Linked DNA regions of Caenorhabditis elegans. The protein of the gene in region 1 interacts with the protein of each later gene in a pairwise test. Each region holds a gene or a part of one and is shown on either strand. Other genes may lie near its edges.

What was found. The genes of interacting proteins can lie anywhere in the genome.
Region 2: the proteins of Y48E1B.3 (region 1) and fnta-1 interact in a two-hybrid assay, tested with the Caenorhabditis elegans proteins (one large-scale study listed by BioGRID).

The regions. Positions count from the first base shown.
Region 1 is NC_003280.10:13,564,338-13,570,272, forward strand, and holds the start of Y48E1B.3 (Geranylgeranyl transferase type I subunit beta), read right to left. Parts: upstream 3,635-5,935; 5' UTR 3,630-3,634; coding exon of another isoform or gene 3,581-3,629; intron 3,527-3,580; coding exon of another isoform or gene 3,415-3,526; intron 451-3,414; coding exon of another isoform or gene 329-450; 5' UTR 203-328; coding exon 27-202; intron 1-26. Other genes in the region: mrpl-37 (Large ribosomal subunit protein mL37), read right to left, coding at 3,880-4,004, 5,010-5,133.
Region 2 is NC_003282.8:236,562-242,055, forward strand, and holds fnta-1 (Protein farnesyltransferase/geranylgeranyltransferase type-1 subunit alpha), read right to left. Parts: upstream 3,747-5,494; 5' UTR 3,738-3,746; coding exon 3,614-3,737; intron 3,563-3,613; coding exon 3,058-3,562; intron 1,903-3,057; coding exon 1,659-1,902; intron 1,515-1,658; coding exon 1,401-1,514; 3' UTR 1,030-1,400; downstream 1-1,029. Other genes in the region: ints-13 (Protein asunder), read right to left, coding at 24-228, 454-889; cogc-8 (Conserved oligomeric Golgi complex subunit 8), read left to right, coding at 4,028-4,091, 4,138-4,262, 4,313-4,483, 4,535-4,645, 4,695-4,898, 4,952-5,062, 5,146-5,264, 5,393-5,494.

The sequences.
Region 1 (5,935 bases):
TTTCTCCAATTTTTCAGTCCGATTACCTCCAAAAATTCTGCAAATTATACTGTGGAATCCATCGGGTCTTTCCATCGGGCCTAGGCGTCGTCCAGTCCTCGAGTAGGCCTCCAAAGCCTCGTTGGCCAAAAGTATGCTGTCCAAAGTCACGGGAAACGGGTTCACAATAGAGTGCGGGGGCGGCGTGGTGGTGGGAAGACATTTTTGAACGGGAAATTATGGAAATTTGTGAAAAAAAAATGGGAAAAAAATCGGGAAAAAGGGGAAAAAAAGATTTTTAACAAGAAAAATGCGTTCAACTCCTAGAAATTTTGCGTGGGTGGGGTACCGTTTGTAAACTGAAGTCCGTAAATCCAATCGATATACGCCTGACGGCGTTCCGGAGTCAGGAGATTGTCGAGCTCGCCGAGCAAATCCAGTGAAGAGATTGCGAATAGGAAGATTGTGTTTCTGGAAAAAATTTGAATTTTTTTTGTGAAATTTTTGAGAAATTTTGGGAGAAAATTGAGCATTTTTAGCTTGAAAAATCTCAAAATTTCAATTGTTTAAAGCTGTTTTTTGGCATTTTTCTAGAATTTTCTCGGAAGAAAATTGCCCATTTTTAGCTTGAAAATTGTAATTTTAAATTAATTTTGTGAAAAATCCGGGAATTTCAGTTTAATTTTGAGACATTTTGGGAGAAAATTGAGCATTTTTAGCTCAAAAATCTCAAAATTTCAACTTTTCTAGTTTTTTCAACTAATTTTTTAAAATAGTTTGAAAAATTGAAGAAAAAAAAATCGCATTTTTTGAAAATTGTTTTTTTTTTCGATTTTTCAAACTATTTCTGGAGAAAAAGCCTTCAGAACTGTGTTATTACACATTCGTGAAAAAATTCTCCCTAATAAAAATTTCCACGAATGTGTAATAATTTTTAAGCAATTTTTCAACAAAAAAAAACCATCAGAATTGTGTTATTACACATTCGTGGAAAAATTTCCACGAATGTGTAATAAGGTTTTTGCAATTTTTCAAGCCATTTTCTGCCAATTTTGAACGGTTATTTTCAAAATTTTGACAATTTTCTAGTTTTTTCTGGGAGTTAAAAAAAAAGATGGGAATTTCCAATTTTTTTTTTTTAAATCCCAGAGAATTGAATTTTTAGAGGTATCTTTCGACATTTTTCTAAATTTTTAGAACTAATTTCACAATTTTATTTGAAAAAAAAAAACTTTTTCTCAATTTTTTGAATTTTAATTTTTTAAAAGCTGTTCTCTTTAAACTTTTTAACAAGAAAAAATCGAAAAAAATTGGATTTTTAATTTTAAAAAATTGGAAAATCAATATTTTCTAATTTTTTTCCATTTTTCCATCAAAATTTCGCATTTTTTTTCAAATTTTCCTAATTAAATTTTTTTTTTCTAAATTTTCCATATTCCAATCGATTTTTATATGTAAAAATTGACTTTATACGGTTTTTTTCTCAATAAAATTGAATTTAAAAAATATATATAGCTTAAAATTGGATGTTTAATTTAAAAAAACTGAAAAATCAATATTTTCTAATTTTTGAATTTTTCCATCAAAATTTCGCAATTTTTTTTAATTTAGGGGAAAAATTGGTGTTTTTTGGGGGAATTTTAGGGGAAAATATCGGAGTTTTTGTGAAACTTTTTTGAGAAAACTGGGAGTCAATCGAGCATTTTTAGCTTGAAATTTGTAATTTTAAATTAATTTTGTGAAAAATATGAAAAAAAAAAAAACATTTTCGAATTTTTCAGAGTAGTTTAGGGTCATTTTCATAGAATTTTTTGAAATTTTTTAAATTAAAATCAGAGGAAATTGGTGAAAAATTTTTTTTTCCAATTTTTTAAAGATAATTTTAGAAAAAAAAATGGAATTTTTCAATTAAAATAGTGATTTCCTGAAAATTTGATAATTTTAGATTAGAAAAGTTGGAGAAAATAATTTTTTTTAGGATTTTATTCAGTCAAAATTAAAAAAAAAACGTACAATTCTGAACTATTGTGTTTTTTTTTTGGAATAAACTTTGAATTTCTACGAAAATTGTAATTTTAAATTAATTTTTTTTTTTTGGAATTTTCAGAGCGCTAATTTTACTATTTTATTAGCAAATTTTCCCAATTTTTGAAATTTTTTGAAAAATTTAATTTTCAACTCTAAAAAATTGAAAAATTAGTAGATTTTCTAATTTTTTAACAATAGCAGACAATTTTTTCAACAAAAAAAATTCAAATTTCAGAAATAATTATTTTTCCGCAATTTTTCAAATTCCAAACAGTTTTTTATACGTAAAAAATGATTTTTCGTTAACGAGATTAATATTTTTTGATATTAAAAGTTGAAAAATTAGCCAAAAATTTGAAGGTTTTTACAATTTTTTGCTTAAAAATTCGACTTTTAACTATAAAGAACTGAAAAATCAATAATTCCAAATGTTTTGAATTTCCGAAATTTCAGAAATCATTTTTTTTTCTAATGTGTGTTTAAATTTCAATCGGTTTTTTTTCTCAAGAAAATTGAATTTTTTGCCACAATTTCACAAATTTCCAGCCAAAATATATCTTAAAAATTGAAATTTTAACTTAAAAAAGAATTAAAAAATTAATATTTTCTAATTTTTTGAATTTTTCCATCTGCGGGGAATTTTTTTTTAAATTTTAATTCAAACTTTTTAAAAATTGGGCGAAAAATTGCCAGTTTTTAGCTTTGAAAAAATTGTAATTTTAAATTAATTTTGTGAAAAATCCGGAGAATCCAATTTTTAGAAGTATTTTTCGAATTTTAGGTTAATTTTTTAGTAGGTTTCAACAATTCTATAGCGCGTAAAAATTGGATTTTTAGTCTTAAAAAATTCAAAAGTTCAAAAATCAATATTTTCTGATTTTTTGAACTTTTTTATAGATTTTGTGAATTTTCCGAAATAGCTTTTTTTCTAAATTTTCTATATTCCAATCGATTTTTTAAAAGCTGTTTTCTTAAACTTTTTAACAAGAAAAAATCGAAAAAAATTGGATTTTTAATTTTAAAAAAACTGAAAAATCAATATTTTCTAATTTTTGAATTTTTCCATCAAAATTTCGCAAATTTTTTATAGATTTTGTGAATTTTCCGAAATAGTTTTTTTGTTATTACACGTTTTTTTTTAATTTTCCATATTCCAATCGATTTTTATATGTAAAAATTGACTTTATACGGTTTTTTTCTCAATAAAATTGAATTTTTTAAAAACAATTTCACAAATTTTCAGCCAAAAAATAGCTTAAAATTGGATTTTTAATTTAAAAAAAAAATGAAAAATCAATATTTTCTAATTTTTGAATTTTTCCATAAAAATTTCGCAATTTTTTCAAATTTCTGGAATTTTAACTGGAATTTTATCAATTTTCTTCAATTTTTTTCTAATCTCCTCACCGACTAGTCTCCAACGTATTATACGGCTGTGGGAATACGTTCAAGTGTCGAATCAAAAAACCAATGTGCTTCTTAAATTCAAAAGTCTGTGTCTGATCTCCTGATTCGGCGGCTGAAAATACGGAAATTCAACGGGGGCCAAAAGCTTAAAAATCCAAAAAAAAACCTTTTCGTGCAAATTCTAGCAATTGATCTTCCGTGCTGATATCGCACATTTAGGCTGAAAATTTTGGGCATTTTTCGGGGGGAAAAGCTGGGAAAAACTGGAAAATTAGGTAGAAAATTGGCTAAAAACCAATAATTTCGAGGAAAAAATCACAAAAAATCATTAAAAAATCAATACAATTTCAAAAAAAAATCCGAGAAAAAAACAACCAAAAAAACAATGAAAAACAGTAGCTACCTATTAAAAAATTGAAAAAAAAATCAAAATTTCTTTGAAAAAAAAAGGATTTAGAGCCCGTGTCAATGAGCATGTGGTGCTCCAAATCCGAGCATCAAGGCGACAAATTTGTGAAAAACGGTCATATCGAGCTTCTCCACAGTGTCCATTTGCTCATAGTAGGGCGTTGGCTTGTAGAGACGGAGACCTGCAAGAGAAAATTGGTGTTTTTGGGAAAAAATTGGGGTTTTTAGGGGAATTTTAGGGTAAAAATTGGGGTTTTTAGAGGGAATTTTGGGGAGAAAAATGGATTTTTAGGGGAATTTTAGGGGAAAATATCGGGGTTTTTTAGAGGAAATTCAGGGTAAAAATTGGGTTTTTTATAGGGAATTTTAGGTAAAAAATTGGTGTTTTTTGGGGGAATTTTATGTGAAAAATGGGTATTTTCAGGGGAATTTTAAAGTAAAAATTGTATTTTTTATAGGGAATTTTAGGGGAAAAATTGGTGTTTTTTAGGGGAATTTTAGGGTAAAAATTGAGTTTTTTGGAGATTTTTAGGGGAATTTTAAGGTAAAAATTTGGGGGTTTACAGGGGGGAATTTTGAGGGAATTTTATGTGAAAAATGGGTATTTTCAGGGGAAATTGAGCGAAAAATTGGATTTTTTATGGGAATTTTAGGGTAAAAATTGGGGTTTTTAGAGGGAATTTTGGGGAAAAAAATGGGTTTTTTAGGGGAATTTTAGGGTAAAAATTAGGGTTTTTTGGGGGAATTTTAAGGTAAAAAATTGGGTTTTTTAAAAGGAATATTTTAAGGGAAAAACTGGATTTTTAGAGGGATTTTTAAGGAAAAAATTGGATTTTTTGGGGGAATTTTAGGGTAAAAATTGGGGTTTTTAGAGGGAATTTTGGGGAGAAAAATTAATTTTTTAGGGGAATTTTAGGGGAAAATATCGGGGTTTTTTAGAGGAAATTCAGGGTAAAAATTGAATTTTTTGGAACATTTTTTGGTCATTTTTCTGATCCGGAGAAAAATATGAAGAAATTCAGAGCTTTTTTTTTCAATTTTAAATTTAAACTTTAAAAATTGAAAAAAATTTTAGTTATTACACATTCGTGGAATTTTTTGGGAGAAAATTTCCACGGATGTGTAATAACAAAAAATTGGATTTTATGGGATTTTTTCCCTTTTTGTTTTTTTTTGTAAAAACCAACCCTTCTCGATCCACACAATATTCTTTTCGTCATTATTTCCAGCTTCTGATGTTGGTTTCAGTGTGTTAAGCTGCATGGCAACCAAATCAAGACGTCCGTTCACCAATTGTACTCCACGGACAAGCTAAAAATTAGGAAATTTTTGGGAAAAACCCAGTAATTTTTTGAGAAATTTTAAAATTCAAGTTTTGTCAGAAATGTGTGGGTTTTTATTAAATTAAAATAAAATTTAATTTTAATAAAAACATTTTTTAATAAATCTGAAATTTTCGTGTTTTTTTTTTCAATTTTTTTTTTCGTAAAAATTGAAAAATTGAAAAACACCGGAAAATCTGAAATTTCCGGGGTTTCTGAGTCTTTTATTCTATTTTTTTACAGCAAAACAAACAAAAAAAATCCGTATTTTTTTCCGGATTTTTTTTTTCGTAAAAAACTGAAATTTTCAAAATTTTCGTTTTTTTTCCCCGAATTTTGTAGGGAAAAAACAACGGAAAAATTGATGAGCAATTCTGTTTTTTTTTTCGGAAAACACACCGAAAAATCTAAAATTTTTGTGTTTTCCGGTTTTTTTTTTCGGAAAATTTACGGAAAAACGCTGAAAATTAGAAATTTTCTTGTTTTTTCTGGTTTTATTTCGATTTTTTGATGAAAAACTCGGAAACATCGTGAAAATTAAAAAATTTCAGAGTTTTCCGGGTTTTTATCTGTTTTTAGTTTCGAAAAAATTCAGGAGAAAATTCGAAACATTTTCGCTTTCAATTTTTAATTTTTTTCGATTTTTCTGAAATTTTCTCAACAAAAAAAACACCTTTTTCAGCTCAAAATGTACATTTTTTCACACAATTTTCTCCGAAATTCCACCGGTTTCTTTAGGTTTTTTTCAATTTTTTTATGCGGAAAAAATTGAAAAATCTGGAATCTTTTAG
Region 2 (5,494 bases), on another chromosome or scaffold:
CGATTTTATAATCAAAATATTACGTTTTATTTGAAGGAGCGTCGGCGATTTTGTTGCGTGACACAACTAACTCGACAATCTCCGTCTGTAATTGTTCCATTTCCTCTTGAGTATTCAACCGGGTGTACATAATCAAATTTCCGGCGTTTTGAACAGTTGGAAGTGGTGGAAGACCTCTGAGTTCTCGTGTCACGCGTATTACTTCCGAGTTTTGAGCTGTACGTTTGTCTGGAAATTTTCAGAATAAGGTAGATTTCTAACGGAAAATGCGGGTTTTCAGTGATTTTTCAAGATTTTTTTAAATCATTTTTCGATAGTTTTTCTACGTAAAAAAGGCTTGAAAACCATAGATTTCGTGTAAAACTAGTGTAAAACCTTTTTTTTAAAGATTTCCAGATGATCATAATTACGATTTTGGATAAAATAATTAATGTTTCAAAAGGAAATACTCACTTGCACTATATCGTACATCATAATTATAATTTCTCTGTTCAGGCGACTGCACAGCCAACGCTTCAATGGCCATAGTCAATCCACCAATTGGTGTAATATCAGTATTAGCCTCACTCGGGCGGCTCACAGTCTCAATGAGTTCTCCGAGCTCTTCTCGAGTCAAAAATCCGTCCGTCCACTGCGTATCCAACATCTTTCCCATGAAGTCCGCCAGGGCAAATCGAAGCTGTAGAGTGCCACGTGGATAGACGTCACTCAGAATTCTGTGCATTTCGAAGATTCCCTCAAGGCACCACGTCCAAATGGTTTTTTCGAATTGAAGTTTCTTCTGTTTTGGGCCTTCTCGAATTGTGACATCGAACGTTTCGTTACAGTTTTCCACGAATTTCGCGCTCCGATCCAGCAGAAAAACGGTTTTCATATCCCGTTGTTCCATCTTAATAATTTTATTTTTAAGAAATTTAGAATCGATTTTTTTTGAAGAATAAACAACGCTTTTCCCGAGAAAAATTAAATTCTGTCAGGGGTTCTTGTATCATCGAAATTTAAATTTGGAAAAGAAGAATAAATTTTTAATATTTCTCTCAGAAACAAAGAAAACTGGTAGCCGAAATGATGAATAAACAGTTGATTTCGAAATATTTCAATTATTTGCAATAATTCAAGAAAAAAAATTCAAAATCTACAGTACTCCAAACTTAAAGGCGCATGAAAGATATCGGAGTGCCGCTGTGCCTCGGAAATTTCCATTTTCTCTTGCCTTTCAACTAAAAAACGTGACAAAAGGTATAAAAATTAAGAATAAACTATAAAAAAAGCATCATTGAATAATAATTTAAAAAAAAATTTTTTAAATAAATAAGTAGGACGGCAAATTGTGGGAAATCATTGGGATATACTTACACAAAAACATATAAATACAAAAAAAACGTGGAATTCAGAAAGAATTACTTGGCAGTGACCTTCGTCTGTGCCTTGATGAGCATCGTTTGAGCAAGAAGACTCTGATGGCGGTAGTAGTTGACTCGAACCGGGTCGATCGATTGAAGATCCTTGTAGAGCTGGAAATTTCGGGAATTTGAGGCGTTTAGAGCGCAAATTCATTTAAAGCGAAAATGTGCACTTTTAATTAAAAAAAAGGAAATTTTTAGTTAAAAATTCTCCAATGTTATCCCATTTCTCATGAACTTTCTAGACTTACAAACCTTTTTAGCGCGCCCAGCGCTTTCTTCCGCAGACTTTTGGTTTTCAATATTTTCGAGCATCATATCGGCGATAAATGCAAGAAGGAATGGTGACCGTTTCTCTTCAGGAGTTGTCTCATACAAATCCTCCACAAAACTGACAACATCACTGTTCGAGGTTACTCCATTTGTGATGAGAAGCCCTGCGAGGTAGTTCCAGGCACTTTCGTTGTTCGGAATATTCTCAATGAACTTCTTGGCGAGGCTAGAAAAATTGAGAGGTTTTGTGTTCAAGTTTAATGGAAGATGTGCAACAACTATTTAGCCTCAAACAAACTCTTAGCCTCAACCAAACTCTTACAAGGAAAGGAAGTCAATCTATCTATGCTCCAGTGCATTTTTTCGCTGACTTCTATATCAAGTAAATGGCCTCAAAAGGGGTTCTGAGAGATTAGAAATTGTTTTTGGGGGTTTTTAGGGTCTAACAAACAATGTGGGAGCTTTTTGGAAATTTTTATTTTTTTGAAAAAAATCTGAAATTTTTTCGATCCATTGGACACCAAATTTTTGGTCAAAAATTTTTTTTTTTGAAAAAATTCCAAAACTATTTTTTTGTATCCGGGCATGCAAAAAGCTACATATTTCTTCGAATTGAGCCTTTTTACAATTTTTTACAATTTTTTACAAAGGGCCCGATTGCAGTTTTTAAAAGTTGAAGAAAAAAATTATTTCCACTGAAAGAATCGAACACGAGACCTTTATTTTATTATTCCAAGCGTTTACCATTCGGCCATCAACCGTTGTTTTTTATTGTTTTCCATGTTTGTAACCATTTCATAATGATTGAAAATCATTTTTTGTATAAGTAAAATGAATAAGTACGAAATAGTATTGAAAACTAGGAGGGCGCAGAGAAAAATTTTCAGATGGCGATTTCAGGGGTTCAGAGTTGAGTTCCGCCGCTGAAATTTTTGTGGTGATCTAGTCTAAACATAAGCTTTCAAATGACATACGTCTCAATTTAAAGTCCGATACTAGATTGACTTCCTTTCCTTGTTAGCCTCAACCAAACTCTTCAGCCTCAACCAAATTCTTAGCCTCAACCAAACGCTTAGCCTCAACCAAATTCTTAGCCTCAACCAAACTCTTAGCCTCAACCAAACTCTTAGCCTCACCCAAACTCTTCAGCCTCAACCAAAAATTTTTACTTTCAAAGTTATCTTCATGTTTGATTAATCAAATATTTGGACAGTTTTCAATTTTTAGGTAGTTTTCATCACTAAAAATCAGAAATTGAGAAGAATATTCTGGAATTTTCGGAGATTTTTAGTTTCTGAATCGCTTTCTACATCAGATAGATGTTTCTCCACTAAAAACGCTAATCGTGAACAAAAAATTGATCGCTGTTATATTTCCTTACTTGATCTCAATGTCAAGCTGGCTCGCATCCTCCGTCTTATCGTAGAGAGTCATCAGAAAATAGCGATAATTATACGCCGAATTGTTGCGATTATCGAGAAGAAGCATGTGAAGAGCAAATGTGAGCTCTTTCTCCAGTGGAACCTTGAAAGTCCGTACAACCCATTGACGGTGCTGCCACGCGTGATAGTTTTTGTTCTCGTCGCGGATGACTTCCGAGCAAAAATGAAGCTCATCGTTCACCGCACTTTCTCCAATCGTTTCGACGATGAAGCGACGGTGATGCCAGACTTGATAGTTTTTCGGTGATTCTTGAATAATATCGCTGAGATACCGCATCTCCTTCTTCAAATCCCATCCCAACTCGGTGAGACACACGCGGCGATACTGCCAAACTGTGTAATTCGCTGGATTAAGTCTAATGCAATCCTCGAGAAGTGCCATCACTCGATCCGACTTCTCGTTTTTTATTAGAATTGCACGGAAGTAGGCGAAAGCATCGGTGACTGCAAAATTAAAATTTGAATAATTATTAATTTGATCTCAAAATTTCTTACAGTCTTCCGTAACAGCGATCTTAACAGCAACTTCTTCCTCCTTACTCGGGTAGATCGGCGTAATATCCTTCCAATCTACGTTATCTTTGTAGAGAGTTGAAGATGGAATATCGCTGTCCGACATTTTCTCCGCCTGCAAGCTTATTTTTCGTTAATATTGGATTTTGAAGGGGAAAACATTAAATTTTGAATTTTTTCTAAATATTTTTCAATAAAAATTGAGCTGGAAACTGGAAAAAACGTCTTAAATGCTCGAACAACTCGGAAAAGAAAAAAAATGGATTTAAAGTTAAACGGTGCAAAGTGTCGTAATTTCCTGCGCACTCTCCGCAAACACTCCGGCTCTCATGTGGATTTACGGGCAGCCAACGCGATTTCTTTCTTATCGCCGATTTGCCTTTACTGTAGGAAATCATGGATTCTGATTATATATTTCATAATGGAGATGATATTCGCAATATGGGACTTGAAGAAATGCGTAAGTAATCTGCAATAATGTGAAAATTCATCGAAAAATCGTTCAGGACGTCAAAAGGTGCTGCTGGCCAGCGAGCTGAAGGCGATTGACGCCCAGATTAGTGATTTAGCATTCAATAATTATGGAACATATGCAGACGCTGGAAGAGCCACTCACGATTGCTCGAAAACTGTAATTTCACGAAAAAATCTATTTAAAGTCTAAACCCTAAATAATTTCAGTTCGGAGAAATGCGCGATAAAACTGTAAATCTGTCGGATCAAGCAGAGGAGTTGACTTCTGCGTTTGTAGAGTTTAGAGCAAAAGCTAAACAGCTTTCTGAAGAGCAGGATCTTGTCAGAAAAGCACTGGACAAGTCAAATCCGATCTGGGAGCTTTTGACGCTACCCTCGGTAATTCTACATCTACTTTTCTTTTTTCTTTGTAATTTTAAAACATTTTAGCGCATGGACATTTGCATTCGTGCAGGATACTATGATCTGGCTTACACATTGACCAATTATGGCTTGCAACTTCAACAACAGACTCAACTCTACCGGAATCCGCTGATAAAAGTCTGAAATCCCCAGGAAAACCTGTTAAAAACGTAAAAAATAATTCTAGAAAGTCGCGGACCACCTAGTCGAAGCTCGTGCTTATCTTTTGGAGGAACTTTTCAACAAATTCGCTGGGCCACTGGATCTTGCAGAATCCATCAAAGTTGTGAATAACGTTCGAAAGATGCCCTCATTGACAGCGAATCAGCTGAGAATCGCCGTTCTTCAGCACCGGGATATTTATCTGGAAAAACAGATTTTAGATATTTCAGTGAGAAATGCCAATCACAACATATTTAATACAATTTATTTCGTTTTTTTCAGGGAAATGTTGACATGATTGTGCAGGCGATCGAGATCTACCGTACCAGTATGTACGACACTCTCGTGCTTTATCTTGCAGTGTTTCCGGAAAACGAAGTTGTTCGAAAAAATGTAAGGGAATCAAATCGAAAAAATTTTGAGCAAAAAACAATAGCCAAGAATAATAAAACAATTTTATTTCACTTTTTTTTCAGCCGAATGCTGATCCGAGATGGGAATCATGGCCAGTTCTGCCACCAAACTCGATTCTGTCACAATGGGTTATTTCGAATGTCAAGAAAATGTTGGATCTTATCACAAAGGCGGATGTTAAGTGAGGATTTTCTCCAATTTCTGAGATTCTCCATAAATCTTGGCTGGAAAATCCACTAAAACTTTAGAAATTCCGGAGAAAATCACCAATTAAAAATTAAAAATTAAAAAAAATGTGCTTAATTTCAGATCAGCCGTCGATCTGTCAGCAGTGTGGACAAAACTAATGGCAATGGCATCATCTTTCGGAAGAATGGGCATCGATTTCCGACCACTGATCGCCGGAAAACT